Linked DNA regions of Oreochromis niloticus. The main gene of each other region encodes a partner of the protein of the gene in region 2 in a complex. Links are inferred from orthologs where the notes say so. Each region holds a gene or a part of one and is shown on either strand. Other genes may lie near its edges.

Region 1 (8,469 bases), on a different chromosome or scaffold from region 2:
CCTTTTTCCTCTCATGCTAAACTAAAACAAACCTGACTCTGTATGTGCTGTGTGTTCGGTCTGACCAGGGCTCACCTGGATCTTTCCTAGCGCTCCGATGGCAACCTCGGGTGGGAGGATCACGGGCTTGGCGTAAGTGCCTCCGATCTGGTTCGAACATAGCAAGCAGAGTGAGGTCAATATGGCTTCTCTCAGCACTGTTGTGATATTTTCGTGTCGCTGTTGTTGTCAGACTCACAGATCCGATGTTGGACAGTGTGAAAGTGCCCCCCATCAGGTCGGCAGTCCCCAGCTGACCCGATGCTCCGAGCACCTGGAGGCGGTTCAACTCAAGGGCGATCTCGAACACGCTGAGCAGCTGGACGTTCTTCACATTGGGAACCAGCAGACCCTGACTTGTGTCCATTGCCAGGCCGATGTTGTGGGACGCCTGAATCACAGGAAACACCACCGTCAGCACTAATGACGTCACCGAGCAACCAGGGAAGCGAAGCCGGCTCGGAGCATGCTCTTACCTTGTAGGTGATGTTCTGGCAGCCCTCATCCACCGAGGCGTTGAGGATCGGGAAGTGGTGGAGACTGAGGGAGGCAGCCTGAGCCAATGAGAGAAAAGCATTAACTTCAATATCAAACATGCAATCGATCAGCAGCTCGTGCATGGCGCCTTAACCCCCAACCTTGATGAAGAAGGGCATGTAGCTCAGTCTGACGCCACGACTCTCGGTGAGAGGTTTCAGCTCTGACCTCAGAGCCACCAGGCGACTCAGGTCAACCTCGTCACAGTAACCGAAGTGAGGAATCTTCAGCGCCACAGTCATCGTCTTCACCATCGCTTTCTGGAAACCTGAAGAGCCAATCAGAATGTTTAGAGAGAAAGGAGATGACATGCAAGTCTCGCAGTGAACAGCGCAACACTTAGGCTTGACAGCAATCTCTGACCTTTGAGGGGCTCCGTCACGTCCTTGCCAGTGAAGACAGGTTTAGGAGTAGCGGGTGGAGGTTTCACAGCCACCTTAGTGCTCACAGGCTTGGCAGCAGCAGGAGCAGCAGCAGGGGCCGGGGGCGGAGTCTGGATCTCCTGGAAAGGTGTCGGAGGCAAGATGGCTCCAGTTTGCTTTGCCAGGAAGTTCAGGATGTCCTCCTTCAGGATCCGCCCATCTCTGCCAGTCCCCACCACCTCACTGAGCTTTATCTGAGGACAAAGCGACACCTCAACTGGGAACACAGTGGGACAGACTGGGACAACCCGGTGCGGACAAATAGGAATCACACTTACATTGTTCTCCATGGCGAGGCGTCTGACTGCAGGCGTGGCCTGCGTCTTGTGACCTTTGATCTCCTGGTGGGTGTGTTCTTCTCGAGCCATGGCGGGCGTCTCCACCACGTCCTCCTCCTGGATCACCTCTGAAGGATAACAGCAGTGAGACTTTCAGCCGTGAACTTGGACGGGTGGACGAGTGAAGACCTGCTGATGCCTCACCTGAGCCAGACTCCGTCTCGATATCCACCAGCGGTTTTCCCACAAAGGCCGTGGCATCTGCATCGTAGTAGAGCTTTTTGATGACCCCATCGTAGCGGCTGGTAATGGTGACCGATGCCTTGTCGCTCTGAACCTCACAGATGCTGTCAAACTGAGAAACTTTGTCTCCTTCCTTCACGTACCTGCCAGAGGAATCCAGATTTATTTATGCAGTGGCAAATCACAAGAACAGAATACGCACAAGGACATATCCTAGTCAAAAATGACTCCAAGGTTCCTCAAAGTGTTATTGGAGGCCATATTTCTAAGATTTTCTGTCCCAAGTACAATAACCTCAGTTTTATCTGAATTTAGAAAATTAGAGGTCATCCAGGGCTTTAGGACTTCCTGACATTCCTGCAGTTTAACTAATTGGTGTGTGTTATCTGGCCTGATGGATAGATAAACTTGGGTGTCCTCTGCATAGCAGTGAAAATGGATGCTATGCCTTCTGATGATACTACCTAAGGGAAGCATGTATAATGTAAACAGAACTGGTCCTAGCACTGAACCCTGTTGAACTCCATATTTAACTTTAGTGTGTGAAGAGGACTCTCCATTTACATGAACAAACTGGAGTGTAACGAGTTAACAGGCCATCCTTCATTACAGGTTACAGGTGTTACATCCTAATCGTTTCATATGTTCACCTGTTTGTTCTTTTACAAACTCTGGGGTTTCAGGTTTGCTTCATTTTAAAAACAAAATAATACCAAAATTTTGTCATGACAATAAAAAACGGAGCTGTTGGACTCTTTTTTTTCTTTTTTTTTGTCTTGGTCACGTACCACTCCTTGACGGTCACCTCCATGATTCCCTCACCGATGTCAGACAGTTTGAACTGCACGATAGGTCCTTGATTCACTGCCGGACAAAACAAAACAGTGACACGATCACAGAGAAACAGAACAATCTGCTGATGGAGGTCAGCGTACACCACCATGAGTGATCTGCCTCAATTCTCCCAGAGTCCATCAAACAGCTGAAAACCCAGAACAGTTCACCATGATACAGATCTCCATGGCAATAGCAGAGAGATCAGAGGAGGCCAGGATTCAGGTGCTGCCGGTCTGGACTTACCCACAGCGACATGCAGCCCTCTGCAGCTGAACACCTGGAGCTTCCTGTCACACCTGAAGGTCATTGGCTGCAGAGTCCTGTCACATCTGAAGCTCTGCAGCCGGAAACATCTGCGGCTCTGCTGACTCAGCTGACGGGAAAAGAGCAGATAACAGAGGTCACCTGGACCAGCCAACACACAGGTGCTTCTAAGCCACGCCCCCTGATATTCAGGGCCTGATGGTTCTTCCTTCAGGTCCTGAATGTCAGACCAGGACCAGCACTCCGAAACTCAAACATGAAGACTAGCTCACAACTCCTTCAGCTTCTAATAAAGATGCATACGGACATTCTTTAAACAAGGTGGTGATGTAACCCTAACAGAGAAGAAATGCCAGCCAATAAAAACATCACACACGCCTCTGACACTGTGGCACCAGATCTATGTTTCCTCATCTGCATGTAAACGAGGAAACCGAGTGCATTTACACTGATTTATGCCAAGTCACTGAAGATTACGCTAAGCCTGACTTTGACACTTTCAGGAAGTGGGGGATGATGGGAAATGGCCTTCAGGTTGTCACTCGCTGACAGAAACTCTGCTCAGGTGTTTTTCTTATTGCAGGTTTCCTCTGAATATCTCGAAGCTGTCTCACTCCCATGTCACTTCTCACTAAATAAAACAGAAAGTTCGCTTTAAAATTTATACACATCATTGGAGGACCACCTGTCAATCACGTCGTTTCCGTCGTTTGAAACCACATCTGCTCCTGAGGTCTGGAACAAACACCTGTCCTGGCGGCAGCAGGTGAAGCAAGTTTCACCTGCAGGACAAGCTCTGAATATTACTGAGCTCAGATCTGGGTCAGAACCAGAACCCGCACACTGCCGGTTCTGGTTCTGACTCAGACCCTGACCCGGAAACAGCTGCTGACCATCAGGAAGCACTCGCAGCTGTTAGCTGTTAGCCAAAGCATGCTAACTCAGAGGCTGTTTCATTCCATTAGGGTTAGCATCAGCTAGCCCATTGGCTAGCTATGCTAACGCACTGAGCTTGGTGACGTTGCGGAGACTCTCCGTTAGCATTAGCCGCAGGTTAGCATTAAGCGCTTTCAGAGCCTGTGACGAGAACACGAAGCCTGTATTTGCTCACCAGTAGCCGCCTGAACGCGCCGAGAGAGCCTCTGGTCACCGCCGCCATCTCTACGCTCCGCTGCACGCCCCTCTCTGCAGCCAATCAGCGCGCAGCGCCGGCCTCTCTTCTTCTGCTGCTTCCCGCAGGGCTCGCAGACGTCACACAGGTGTGATGGCGCCACGATCAGGAGAGCTAATGAACAACAAACTGATTCATTAAACTTTTCCTGGTTTTTACAGCCTTAGACGTTCCACGGTTTTTATCCATTATTAATAATAAAAATGATTTGTTGTTTATTTAAAGACAGGTCAGCATCATGACATCAGCAAGCTGCCGTTTGTGCACCTGTCCAGATAAGGTAAGATAAGATAAGACTTTATTGATCCCATGGCGGGGAAATTTGTGCGTTACCACAGCTCAGGTACAGATAGTAGAAGAATACAAAGAGTATACCAGAATATAAAGTCAACAAATACAAAATAAATAAGATAATACAATATATACAATGGTAGCTGAGGTTCTATGTACACACATACCCAGAATATGTTATTGATACAAGTTGTGGAAATATGCAAGAAATACATTAAAAACTATTCTACTACTACTACTATTACTATGTGAGTAAAAGATATCTATAAGTATCTATAAGTATAGACATGTACATACACACACACGTACAAATACACATACACCATAATCACTAATGCAGAGTGTCATCACATTAATCAGATTTCATCTCTACAGGGTCATCAGTTTCTACAGTTAGAACCATAAGAATGTGCAGTTGAGCAGTTAGCTGCACACAAGTCCTTACAGCTACAAACAGGGGACTGTAGAATCAAACCTGAAGGGCTCAGCCCTCAGTCATAGTGTCATGCATACGCTGCCCTGCAATTAACATTACTGGAATATGCTGCTTACAAAAATATTCACCTCTTTTTTCAGCTCAATTACATTTTCATGGAGGTTAGAAAAAGGAGGAAGTTTTTGAATGCACCTCACTCTCCTTAAAAAATAAAGGTGGCTTGTGGCTGAGCAGTAGCATCATGGTTTTGTGTTGCTGTTGCATTTTCATTTCTTTGTACAGCGCTTTGTGCCTTTATGTCTATAAACTTGAATTACGACACCTGTGTGTGGGTTTTCCTGTTAGTGGTGCAGTAATGCCAGCTGTTTGTGACGTTCGGGGCTGGATTACTGTGAACAACCTCTGTGTGCAGAGCCTCCTTGCTGAAGGCCTCAGTCTCGCTGTGTGCTGTTATTTTGGTCATATGGTGCATTTGATTTGACAAATATTTTACACTACACGCTCTTCCTGAGGCAACCCTCCCCGTTCTTCTGCTCCAACAGCAGCAGCTTCTGAGAACTCCTCAGTTTATACGTGCAGTCAACAATTAATTTATTATCAATGTGTGGCAGAGGTGTGGTCCTTGGCTCAGCTGCAGGGGATGGGTGATGCAGGGAGGTTGGAGGGACAGGTGGACATGATTAAACTAATGGGGTTCCTCCCTTCGTATAGTGAGGGTGGAGACCGAAGTGGGACAGTATGCAGACAGCTGACGATTGTGTGTGTGCCGAACCAGGACGCTGTACATGAGTGCAAAATCAATTAAAAAACCCAGTGTGTCGGGTCATGGTCCTTTACACAACGTAAAGTGAATAACAGAGTCAAATGTCACCATGTATTGTCAAGTCATTTTTATTCTGCCTCGTCACAGACGTTATTAATATTAAAATACAAGCATTCATGTTTGAAATTTGCGGAGAAGCAGCAGGCCGGTCTGAGTCCATCTCAGCAGACAATGACATCATCACAGAGCGTGCTCGTGTCCAGCTCGTCAGCACTGCTCGAATCCCGCCATCAGAGAGAGCGCCAGAGACTCCACTGCACAACAAGAGAGACAGACGTCATCAGCTCCTCTCTGCTCACAGCATACAACAAGACGAGGTTAACTGGACAGCTACGGTGGCCAAGAGGTCCCAAACACATATTTCATTTACTGGAAAGGTTTTTCAATCATTCAGTCCTGTGTGCTGACAGGATGACCAGCACAAACATCCTATTTCTCATTTATTACTTTCATTTCCTGTTAAATTGACCTAGAAGGATCAGACTGCAGGAGACTTGTGGTTCCTGAGTCTGAGATGATGCAGGTGTCAACAACCGAAGGTCGGCTTTTATTGGCCCTTGGAAAACTTCGACCACACACGCCTGAGCCCTCGTAACGACATTTTCAGCCTGAAAATGTCGTGCGGATATCTCGTGCACTTATGAAGTCGATCCCCTCTAAACTGCGGACACACTCTGTTTGGAGGAAACACCGAGCACTGCAGCTGGATCCCGACAGCCTCGAAGCACCAACCGATTTTACATTTAAGCTTTTCCAAGTTGGATGTTCTGCACCTTTGGACCACCGTACACAATCACTGCGTTTGACATCATCACCCAGACGACAGACTCACAGTGAGGGAAGGAGCCCCGGCACACCGCCTTATTGAGGATCGTCACAAGGAACATGTGGCAGTTTTTGAAATCAGACTCCATTTTATCGATGGACTCTATCCTGAAAGAGAAACAACATTTAGCTGCAGAGCAGGTGTGTCGTCTCTGTACCTGGATGCGTGTACACACACACACACACACACACACACACACACACACACACACACACACACACACGCAGCGTGCACCACGAATGTCACATCAACACCACTGAATAGACACATCACTCTTACTTCCAGGCTCCAGCCTGCCATCTGTCCGAGAAGATGAGGACGAGATTCAGAACCTTTATTATCGCCTCCTTCACAAAACTGACCTGAGAAAACACAACATGTAGAAACAGGTGAGTCTGAGCAGGGAGCCAAAGTGAGATTCGGCCTACTGAAGGTTCTGGCCCCGCCCACAGTACAGTGTTTTACAAGTTTTTCTGGAAACATAAAGAATCACTGTCTTATAAGATCCAATTTATTTACTTGCCCGCCATCACACAGTACAGTAAGGTCAGTGTACAAGCAGCGGTGCTGATGGTGCAGCAACATTTCTTTGTGCTAAAGCAGGAAAACTGAGAAACGCCTCAGGCTGGTCATTGCGTTCGTAAAAGAACGAACGCTTTTTCATCATCTCAAACAAACAGCAACCGTCTTTACAGCTGATTGTGTCAGCGGTCAGACCGCCATCATAAATGTTCACCTTCTCCCTTAGCAGGCAACGGTCGTGAATCGTGGCCAGGTATCTGTAATGGATCTTGATGAGCTGGTCCAAGTCCTTGGCTTCCTGCACTTGGTGTTGAAACTCGAGTCCAGTGCTGTGCAGAATCTGCCAAGACACAAAGCAGATGAAGAGCCAGAGTTAGTCAAACTGAGAGTGCAGTGAGGACTCTTTTTATTAAAGGGGGTCGTTTAAAGAAGTGATTTTATTATGTAACCCTAGAAGTAAATATGACAGGAAGAGTTATCAGGCTGCCCGCTCACTGTCACGTGATCAGCGCTCGCTGTGCCAAGCTGCTGATCTTCCCTACCGAGCAGCGTCCTGATGGTGTTCATTATAAAAACGTTTGCTGGCACTACTATGTCGACAGCAGCGCTCGAGGGGTAAATGTGAGTGATGTCCTCCCTTATTTATGCTGCAATAGGTGTATGCTACTGGGGGATTCCAATGATGCACTGGGTGCTTCTTCTTCACTCACTATCTATTAATAGACCTCGCTGAACTGAATCATACTTGTTATTAATCTCTGGCTCTCTTCCACAACGTGTTTTATCCTGTCTTCCTTCTCTCACTCAACCGGTAGTGGCAGATGGCCGCCCCTCCCCGAGCCTGGCTCACCTGGAGGTTTCTTCCTGTTAAAAGGGAATTTTTCCTTCCCACTGTCACCAAAGCACTTGGTCATAGGGGGTCATATGATTGTTGGGTTTTTCTCTGTATATTTGATTGTAGGGTCTACCTTACAATATAAAGCGCCTTGTGGTGACTGCTGTTGTGATTTGGTGCTGTGCAAATAAAAATGAAGTGAATTGAATGTCATGGATGCGACATCCTGTTTGCAGGAGGTCAGTTTGGTGGTTTGCCTCACCCTCGTCATGATGTAGTTGTGAAGGCTGTTGACAAAGTGCATCAGTTTGACCCTGAGCAGACACATCCTGTGGATCTGCTGGTTCACGCGCTCTTTGACCTTGACCTCCTCGGCTGCGGCGCCCTCCAGCTTCTTAGTGACGTCTGTAAAACCTACGAGTAACAACCATTTATCAGAGAAATGACTAAGACGGGCTTATTTTCAGTTTACAGCTTCAGGTGGAGCTTGTACCGCTGAATCGAAGCGTGTCCAGACTGTACTTGGCCCATTTGATCTGCAGCAGGAGGAGGAACACTTGGTTGTAGATCTTCTGACACTCAGAGCTGATCACAATGTCCACGGGCCAGGGAACCTGTGCAGACACGCACCAGGAAACGTCAGGTGGCGGATTCAACAACGCACCGACAGACACCAAAGCACAAACTGCAGTGTTCACCTTGTAGCTCAGCGTGAGGACTTCCAGGTTATTCACAGGCTGTTTTTTCCTGGAAGCGTCGATGGGTTCCAGAAACACCGACAGCCTGGGAAACAGAGATGCCTGATCAAACTGATTCTAACAGAAATAAGGAACTGTGTCACAGCAAATGTGCACTCTACCTGCTGCTGTCCTCCGGGTAGCGCTGTCCGACCGCCTCCTGCAGCTGCACGTTCAGAAACGACGGCTGCTGCCAGCTCTCCTTCTC
Region 2 (9,395 bases):
AATGACATTCTAATTAAAATAATCGACCTGGTTTATGGCACAAATCTCACTTTTTTTTTATGAAATAAAATTTAAACACACACACACACACACACACACACACGCACACACACAGAGACGCATAGTTTCTGTAGCCAAACAACAAAAGATAAAATATCCTAAGAAACATTTTCATTCCTCTTTGTTAGATTTTAGCAGTTACTCAGAGTCTAGCAGTAGGCAGGAAAATGAAAACAAACGTGGTTTGTGTAAGAACAGGCTGTAAGATAGTACTTGCTTTGTCATATCACACTAAATGGATTACAGAATGTGAGCACCCATGTACAAATGCCTCTATCTACTAAGCCAAACTTATTTACTTCAGTAAAATTATTAATAATCCAGTAAGATAATACACGCAAAGACTTGCTGAAGTAGTATATATACTAGTATATATACTACTTCAGCAAGTTGTCTTTTGTAACCGTTGTGTAAAAACCTGTACAAGTCTCTACTGTGTTTAGAAAAGTTTAACATTGACGTGGACACTACATGTCCCCTTAAAATTTCCACTTTAGCAAATGTCACTTGCCAAGCGGTCCTTACCTTAGGGAATAATCTTTTTTTCCTTTTCTTTCCTCTCCTCTCTTTTTCTCCTCTGTAATCCACAGCAAAGTGTATGTAAATCCTGCAAGCACTTTTCAAAATGTTTCATTCTATTAATGTTGCGATGACAACATTCATTTGAACAAAAACCATTCTAAAGGCGTCTGACACATTTGCTAAGCTCCACCCCCGGTTGATGTTGAGAAGAAATAATCAACCTGGTTTCTAGATTTCAAAATGTCATGTTTTTGTCATCTAAAGCTAAAGCCTACTATTGTCACAAGGGGGCGCTCTGATGCAGTTTTTCGTTACGATGTCCTTATGTCTTGTGCGCGGAAGCATTGTTTTTTTTTCACTTTTAAAAACTTTATTTAGAGCAAAGACAATGACAATCTCAAACAAACAGTGAATCATTGAATCTTTCACAACATATCACACCTTTTTTTTCTTAATCAGAGGATTATTGCAGCATTGTAGTTGGTATGTCACAGTCAAACTAACAATAATTGTAACTAAGTATATAAAAAAAGTAAAAATAACTAAATAAGTAAATAAATTAGAAAAAGATTAAAGAACAAAAATAAAGGAGATAAGGGGGGCATGAAAATCATTAAAAGTGAGGTCTTATAAATAAGACATATAGCTTAAATAAGGGGCAAAGGGAGAAACATTCTTCTAAAAAATTTATGCAATTTAATTGCCTGCGGCTTATTTATTAGATTCAGAGATTTACGCAACAGGGAAAATTCATTTTTAAGAACAAGCCATGAAGGGGGGGGATTTGGCACATCAGCATTTATGAATGTAATATTTTGTTGTTATAATGAGATTGTTTACTAAGAACTCAGTATTTTTGTCCTTGACGATTACTCCTATTTGAATATTCTGAAAAGACCAAAAACCAACATTTGTAGACCAGGATGATATTAAGTCATGGAGAGATTTCCACAAATTTTGGAAAGTCACCCATAAAACATGTGCTGTGTTGTTTCCAAAGTTGTTTTACAAATATAACAATTGTCTGACACAAATTTAAATCTTTCTTTCATGAATTCATTAGAGGGGTCGATGGTTTTTGTAGTTTTAAAATGAACTTTTTTAAATTTGGGGGTTTGGGAATTTTAAATATTTAGTTCTGATCAAAGAAATCTCACATTTGTTATAATCTTTTAGAATGAGTGAGCATTTTGTCCTACTTGAATATAAGGTGTTAACCAAATACTTCCTCCAAAACTGATTATTGCATTTTTCATTAACAAGGTCTGGACCATCTAATTTAATTTTACGTAAATTTGGAGTTGGTATATTTTGCGTTGATAAAAACTATCGGGATATTCTGTGAAACGTTTTTGTAGAGCTCAATTGAACCACTCATGCTATGTTTCTCATTAAACCTGTTTAATTCAAGTATATTTCTGTTTTCATCCATTATATGTGTGACAGACCAAATTTGTTTTGTCATTCATTCTTCCACAAACATAGATTTCCCCCGATTCAATATCACCCTATTATTCCACAGTGGAACTTTGTGGGGACTAAAGTTATGTTTGAACATTAATCTCCAGTTTAACAAAACTTGTTGATGAACTTTGGAGAGTTTTATGAGAATTTGATATCCCCGACTTTGTTGAAAATAAGAGATATAATAAGAGGTATCAAGAACCAGATCTCATCATCATTGTTTAGCCAATTAAGCTTTAACATTCCCTTCATTATTTCAAAATCACTTGCTTTTAAACCCCCCTCTTCATAGTCTTTTATAAAGTCCCTGCTTCTGATATAGTGAAGTTTTTTCCCATATGAGATTAAAATTAATCTTATTGATTTCTTTTAATATCCTTGGTGGGATGGCTAGGGAACAAGCTGGACAGATTAATCTGGACAAAGATTCAACCTTGGTTAACATTATCCTGCCGAACAACATTAAATCTCTCTGTAGCCAATTGTTTAAAGTGTTTTTGCATTTGTCAATTGTATTCTGAATATTCTTTTCTTCACTGTCAGCCATGCATTTAGTTATCCAAATTCCAAGATATTTGATTTCATTTTTGACAGGTATATCATACAAGGAGGAGTGAGAACAATTATGGATACTCATGAGTTCGCATTTGTCCAGGTTCAGGCGTAGGCCAGAAGCATCAGAGAAAATCTTTATTGTGTCTAAGCCAAATGGAATTTGTTGGATTTTGGAATTTGGCAATCAGTTTGCATGCTTATTCTTAGTATGGTTAACTAATTGGGATTTCAAATATGCAGTCTACTGATTTAATATAAAATTAAATATTTGGCTGAATTGTTTTATTTCCATACAGCTGAATCCTCCCCAGAAAACCAAAGCAAATGTTTTTTAAAAAATAATTTCACCTGAGTAACTGTGTTATTTAAAAGATTAGCCACAATCAGTGTCAATTTTCAGAGTTTCTTTCAGTTAGTAGCGTGTTTTGGATTCATCAGTTTAATTTTAATAAAGGAGTTTTCAGAGAACTGGTCCAAAATTAGAGGTTAATAGGAGGAAGAAAACATAAAGAAATAAAATAAATTATAGCCTCCACACATTGTCTGACTTTTGTGAGCTGAATTATTGTACGATAATGCAGTTACAGTTTTTGCTTTATGTCCATTTATCCTCCCAGTGTGGTCATGGCTGCTGCCAGCTGTCTGCTGTCTGAAGACCAGTTTCTGTGCTGCATCTGTCTGGAAGTGTTCACAGATCCAGTCAGTACACCATGTGGACACAACTTCTGCAAGAACTGCATCACTCAGTACTGGAACAGCAGTCCTCTGTGTCAGTGTCCAGTCTGTAAAAGGAAGTACTACACAAGACCCGAGCTCCATGTCAATACTTTCATCTCTGAGATGGCTGCTCAGTTCAAGCTGTCAGCTCAGCAGGAAGCCAGCAGCAGCGGAGGAGAAAACAGAGGATGAAATTCAGGAGATGATCCAGAAAAGAAAGATTAAAATTGGGGAAATGAAACACTCTGTGCTGCTCAGTAAGAAAGAGGCAGACAGAGTGACAGCAGAAGGTGTTCAGATCTTCACATCTTTAATAGAGTTTGCAAAGAGCAGCATGAAAGAGCCGATCAAGACAATTGAAGACCAGCAGAGAACAGCAGAGAAACAGGCTGAAGGCCACATGAAGGAGATAAAGCAGGAGATTTCTGAACTTATGCAGAAAAGCTCTGAGGTGGAGCAGCTCACCCACCCTGAAGACATCCTTCACCTCATCCAGAGTTTATCTTCCGTGAAAGCTGCTGTCCCCACCAAAGACTGGACCAACATCAGTTTGGATGGTGGGGAGAATTATAAATCAGGTGGAGAGGAATCTCAGAAGTGAGTTAAGTAGAGTGACTGAGGCTGAGCTGAAGAGGGGGTTACACAGTTAAGTTAAAATTTAACCCTGATTTTGTCCCTGATTCAGTTCAACCCAAAGCTCCCCAGTCTGCGAATGGTAATTGTATATGTGTTTTGTCAAACCAGGGTTTCTCTTCTCAAAGATTTTACTTTGAGGTTAATGTTAAAACCCATCGTACATGGACAGTAGGAGTGGCCAGATATGTGAGCAACCTGAAGAGAGAAAGCACCAAACTGAGCCCTGAAAATGGTTACTGGACTGTTTGCTCGGGGCCATGGTGATCAGTTGATCCATCTGTGAATTTAAGAACTGAGAAAGTGGGAGTGTTAATAGATTATGATGAAGGCCTGATCATTTTTTATGACATTCATGGTGTAGCTCTTATTCACTCATTAATTGGCTGCTCTTTCACCTAGAAACTCTACCTGTTCTCCAGTTCCTACCAAAATAATGGAGTTCAAATCCACACCGGTAAATGTTTGATATCATAGATAAGTGTCCTAAAAGGTGTTCTAAAATAAATCTACATAAATAAGGGGAAAAAAGAGTTTTTGCTATTTGAATTGTTTTATTTTACACCCGTGAACCTCCCAACAACTGCCACAGGTTTGTATTAAGATGAACATTTTTGATGATGACATTTTGTGATTTACACTGTTGAGAACCTATGAAAATGTTTTAATACAATCTAAAATAGAAAACTTTCATTTTGGAGGCAGTTTCACTGACAAAGATACAATTTATACACCGTAAAATATAACCTATAAATATAATACATGTGGGGTAGTTGAGGAGGGAAAGGTTAATCCACTTAGTTAAGACTTGCATGTGTATATCTGGGTTGCTTTTTTAAAATATTATATATTATAAATCTAAGCTTCAATAAAGTGATTTTTTAAGTGTTTTGTGTGTTAATTTAACTCAATCATCTCACATCTTCTACAATGATTTCAGCAGGTGGTTTAAAGAGCTAAATGTCTCCACCTAGTGGAGTTTATCCCACACTGATAAATGTGCCCCTGCCTTTACATCTCTGACACTTTATTTGTCTCATAGAAGCAACTTGTGCAAAAGTTGAAAACCTCTGTTTCTTCTCTGTGACGCCACATTTCTGCTGATGTGTTGATTCAGATATTAAAACAACGATGCAGAAATGCTCATGTTAAACGAATTCACACTTAATTTTCCGATTGTGTGCCTTTAGCATCATCTTTCTGTGATGTTACATTCTTTGTTGGGCTGCTTGTTACAGCTGCAGTGGACATTTTCCCCTAGTTTTTTGTGAGCATGGGGGATTGTGCAAAATTTACAGTTAACATATGGCAATTTGCAGACCAGATTAAAATTCGCAAAGGCTTCGATTTTGTCATTTCCTTTTAGAAATGACTTTTAGATAAGGCATGAACTGAGTGGCTGTAAATCAAACAAAAGTTCTCCCCACTCCTAAATCCTGTCCTGTCTGGCAGCTTTTGCAATCAAAATTAGGATCTGTTGAACCAAATACATTTTGCTTTTCCAGGATGAGCTCTATAAATATAGGCTTCTCTTGTTTCTATTATCTTTATTTATTCATTTCTTCAAAACCTTCACCAATTTAATGTCCGTGACGTAGATTTTCTTATTTGTATGTCTGATTTTATTGTGAAGCACTTTGTGATTTTTATCTGTGAAATGTGCTATATAAATAAATTTTATTTACTTTTACTTTACTAAGACCAACTTACTCACGGTAGCAAACTTTCAATATTCAAACTTATATATATATATATATATATATATATATATATCTGTAAAATTTGTTTTAAAATGATTTTGTTTTAAAAAATAACATTTGTTTACCCTTCGCAAACTTTGACGTGTAATAGATGCGACCCGGAGGAGTTTTCTGTTTGGACCCATACTGCGCTTGCGCAATGATAGGAGTCCTTGGCTGCTCGGCCTGCTGTAGGTTACGGATCCAGTGAGGGTACACCGACAAAATGCAGAGCTGGACACAGTTATACCGCTCCCTGGCCACGGTAAGCATTCATATTATTTTCGCTATAACCAGTATGCGAAACCCGGATGTGTCGTAAACTGTCCTGCGTGCTGCAGATCTAGAGGATAGGGGAAATTTTAGACCTGCGGCCCACACCTGGCTAGCTACTCGGCTAACAGCAGAAGGCGAACCAGACTGTACTGGAAAAAACATGCAATTTGGAGTTGTTGTGGTTATCGATGTCTAAACACGTTGCTTGATTTTCAGTTGATGTGTTACCTATTCATATACCTTTTTCCTTTTAATTCGGCATGAGTTAGACTAACAACCTTCCCCACATTTAAACTAAATCACGACTTTTCTGGTTAAATATTGCTGCAGTATTTTGAAGTAAAACCTGCAATGAAAAGAATCGTGATATTTGTATTCTGCTAATATTAAAAGGGCTTAAATCACACAAAGCTAGAAGAAAAGCATCTAGGTTCTATGACTTGGCAGTTGACATTTCCCACTCTGGTGTCGTGTTAGCTCGCTTAGCTGTTTAGCAGCGGTTGCCTAACTCTTAATTTATGTCGTAAGCTCAGCTGTTGTCTCACAGCTTCAGGGCGAGCATCCCGATTATTCCGAATTGTTTCGGGGCTTTTAGAAGCTTTGCGACTCTATAACACTTAAATAGTAGTTATTTGCTAACTTGGTAGTCTGCTAAAGGGGAAAGTTTCAGAGTTGCTAGTGGACAGGCTGAGGGTGTCCTTGCTGAAAGCTGGCACTGCAACAGCAAACCAGCTGAATGTGGTACAATTCCATGAAAACAAGTGCATGAGTCTAAATATTAAAATTTAAATTTTAGTTTAGTAGTTGAGTTTGCTCCTTCGTGACTCACTAGGCTTCAGTATCTGAGTATGCAGCTTTAAAAGGAAATAGTAGTGACGTAAATAGAAATTTTTAAGCAGCAGATTACTGAAGTGAGAGAAGCCACTGAAGACAGATACTTTTAGTTTGCAAAGTTGGCTTGTGATGCACTATAACATTGTTTTTGTGTTGCATTGCCTAGTTGTATTGTGCATGTGTATTTTCTAACTGTGCATTTTGTTTGCTTCACAGCGGAGCCACCACCTGCCCTGCAAAGTGCACGGAGCTGCAGCGCTGTCTGTTCGGACCTACGCTGACAAAGCAGCAAGTACGATTGTGCTGTAAATCTTATCATAGGACTTTATTTATGGCACAGTGTTTACTGAACTGTAGCCACATGTTTGTGCAGTTTGATCTCTGATGTTTGTATCAAAGCAGTCTCATAATTCAGACTTGCAGAGAGTCTCAGGTGCTGGATTTGGGTGGGGATAGGACTTCATGGACTATGTAAAGAGGGGTGGTAGAGAGCTTGCATTAAAATGTTCATTTACATACACCAGACTTTAATCATGTAGTTTTGCTCTGGTGGCGTAAAGTCATGCTAAAAGCTGCTGTGTTGCCTCTCTGCAGTTGATGCAGACGTCACAGTGGTGGGCTCCGGTCCAGGAGGCTATGTCGCTGCAATCAAAGCTGCACAGCTCGGCTTCAAGGTAACCCACCTGCCCAACAGATATCCTGCTGTCTAAACAGATCCCACAGATGGTCACAAGTGGAAGTTTTTGGTGAATAATGAATCCCCTGTCTCTAAATTTGTTATTCTTTGACAGACAGTGTGTGTCGAGAAAAATCCCACACTCGGCGGGACTTGTCTCAATGTCGGCTGCATCCCCTCGAAGGTAACAAACTGCTTTTAATCTCCACAAATTCACAGGTTTGTTTGTAAGAGGTTTGATCAGTATGATCGTTTTACAGAGGAAGGAGAGATACCAAGGATGTTTTTATCTTGGGTTTGGTTTTTCTTTCAGAACTTGTACACCTTTAGTATAAAAGTAATCCAGTGACGGTTGTCTATCCATAGATATATTATAAAGGGTAAATGCTTCCATGGAACACATTTGAGTAGTACAGACAAAAATTTTGCCAGAAAGAACAGCAGCACATACCGGTAGCATCTTTTTATTGTCTTGATGAATTCAAAAATAAGCCAATACTTCTGGGTTTAGCCAAACAGAGTGGGAAAAACATTTTCAACTTCATAATAACGACTAAATTTCACAGAGAGAGGAAAGCAGAACAATCTTCACCTAAAAAGAACTTTTCAGTTTGGTGATAAGCACTGAACGTAAGATTGATTAAACTATATTGAATCCGTAAAATGACGTAAACGTGTATAAAGTCATTCCTCCAGCTGAATAAGCTGCTGTTTTGTTTCTGCAGGCTCTGCTGAACAACTCCTACTTGTACCACTTGGCTCATGGGAAGGACTTTGAAAGCAGAGGCATCGAAAGTAAGAATCACCATCAGGCTTTAAAGGGAACATTTTGTGTAGCTTACTGATCCTTAAAGGGGGCTTATTCTGCTCATTTCCAGCTACATGTTATAATTTTGAGCTCTAGTAGAGCTTTGCATGATTCAAAGTTCAAAATAATCCTTCTTTATGTCATAGAGGTTTTTGTGCTGCCCCTCAGTTAATCCTGTCAGAAACAAGCTGTGTTAGCTCTCCTCGCTTTAAGCCAACCCTCTTATGATTGGATGCCCCTCATAAAAAAAGGTTTGACCAGCAGTACATGCTCTGTGTGCCTGAAATGACTATAGTAGAGAAATCCATTGTCTTAACCTTTCAAGTAGATTTTTTTTAGCCAAGATTACACTGAAGGTCATTATTTGCAGCATTAGCCATATTTAATATAAGCATATACGTTATTATAACACTTGTGTCTGTATTCCTTAGTATTGGATGCTGATGGCACAGAACATGTGTTTTCGACAATACACTTTAATTGAATGTAACTTGTTTTTCCATCGATTTCTTAGTTTGACATTGTGACCGCATTGACAATAAAGTCTTTGTCTCTCAGTTTCAGGCATCTCGTTGAACCTGGAGAAGATGATGGCTCAGAAGAGCGGGGCTGTCAAAGCGCTGACCGGAGGAATCGCACATTTATTCAAGCAGAACAAAGTCAGTCTTCCCTCTCTGCCTTAGTGCTTGTTTACACAGGTGTTACATCTGAACCACTTTTAACAGTGTCTGTGGTGTGGCATCACTCCTCACAGGTTACCCACGTTAATGGTTTTGGAAGGTTAACTGGGAAGAACCAAGTGACCGCCACAACAGCTGATGGTACCGAGCAGGTCATCAACACCAAGAACATCCTCATCGCCACAGGCTCAGAGGTCACGCCCTTTCCAGGCATCCAGGTATGAGAATTTGTGACCTGTTCATACTTCCATTTCACTAGTTGCAGGTTTTTTGCTTGTCGTATTCACCAAAGGAGGTGGAGGAGGCGAGGAAGGTACATGAAGAGAGGAGTCAGTGCTGCAGATGTCTAACAAAAGGCGTCCTCGTCTCAAGAGCCTCATGTCTCACACATGTCACCCCCTCCTTTCATCCCTCCATAAAAACTCACATGC

What was found.
Region 1: the proteins of dld (region 2) and dbt are in contact, whole or in part, in a crystal structure (PDB 3RNM), measured with the Homo sapiens proteins. The link is inferred for Oreochromis niloticus from reciprocal best matches to the Homo sapiens genes DLD and DBT. Residues at the interface, in NP_000099.2 of Homo sapiens: Ser446, Thr447, Asp448, Arg449, Glu472, Tyr473, Gly474, Ser476, Glu478, Asp479, Arg482; in NP_001909.4 of Homo sapiens: Thr174, Pro175, Ala176, Lys196, Arg199, Leu201, Lys202, Glu203, Leu206.

The regions. Positions count from the first base shown.
Region 1 is NC_031986.2:35,936,346-35,944,814, reverse strand, and holds the start of dbt (lipoamide acyltransferase component of branched-chain alpha-keto acid dehydrogenase complex, mitochondrial), read right to left. Parts: upstream 3,871-8,469; 5' UTR 3,780-3,870; coding exon 3,732-3,779; intron 2,730-3,731; coding exon 2,600-2,729; intron 2,384-2,599; coding exon 2,308-2,383; intron 1,663-2,307; coding exon 1,481-1,662; intron 1,405-1,480; coding exon 1,277-1,404; intron 1,193-1,276; coding exon 940-1,192; intron 845-939; coding exon 678-844; intron 594-677; coding exon 516-593; intron 431-515; coding exon 239-430; intron 148-238; coding exon 76-147; intron 1-75. Other genes in the region: tubgcp5 (gamma-tubulin complex component 5), read right to left, coding at 5,549-5,595, 6,174-6,274, 6,447-6,529, 6,904-7,029, 7,787-7,938, 8,018-8,138, 8,223-8,307, 8,384-8,469. UniProt on the Homo sapiens protein: The branched-chain alpha-keto dehydrogenase complex catalyzes the overall conversion of alpha-keto acids to acyl-CoA and CO(2).
Region 2 is NC_031972.2:3,411,549-3,420,943, forward strand, and holds the start of dld (dihydrolipoyl dehydrogenase, mitochondrial), read left to right. Parts: upstream 1-5,799; 5' UTR 5,800-5,916; coding exon 5,917-5,955; intron 5,956-7,016; coding exon 7,017-7,092; intron 7,093-7,394; coding exon 7,395-7,474; intron 7,475-7,591; coding exon 7,592-7,660; intron 7,661-8,201; coding exon 8,202-8,271; intron 8,272-8,842; coding exon 8,843-8,943; intron 8,944-9,038; coding exon 9,039-9,182; intron 9,183-9,395. UniProt on the Homo sapiens protein: Lipoamide dehydrogenase is a component of the glycine cleavage system as well as an E3 component of three alpha-ketoacid dehydrogenase complexes (pyruvate-, alpha-ketoglutarate-, and branched-chain amino acid-dehydrogenase complex).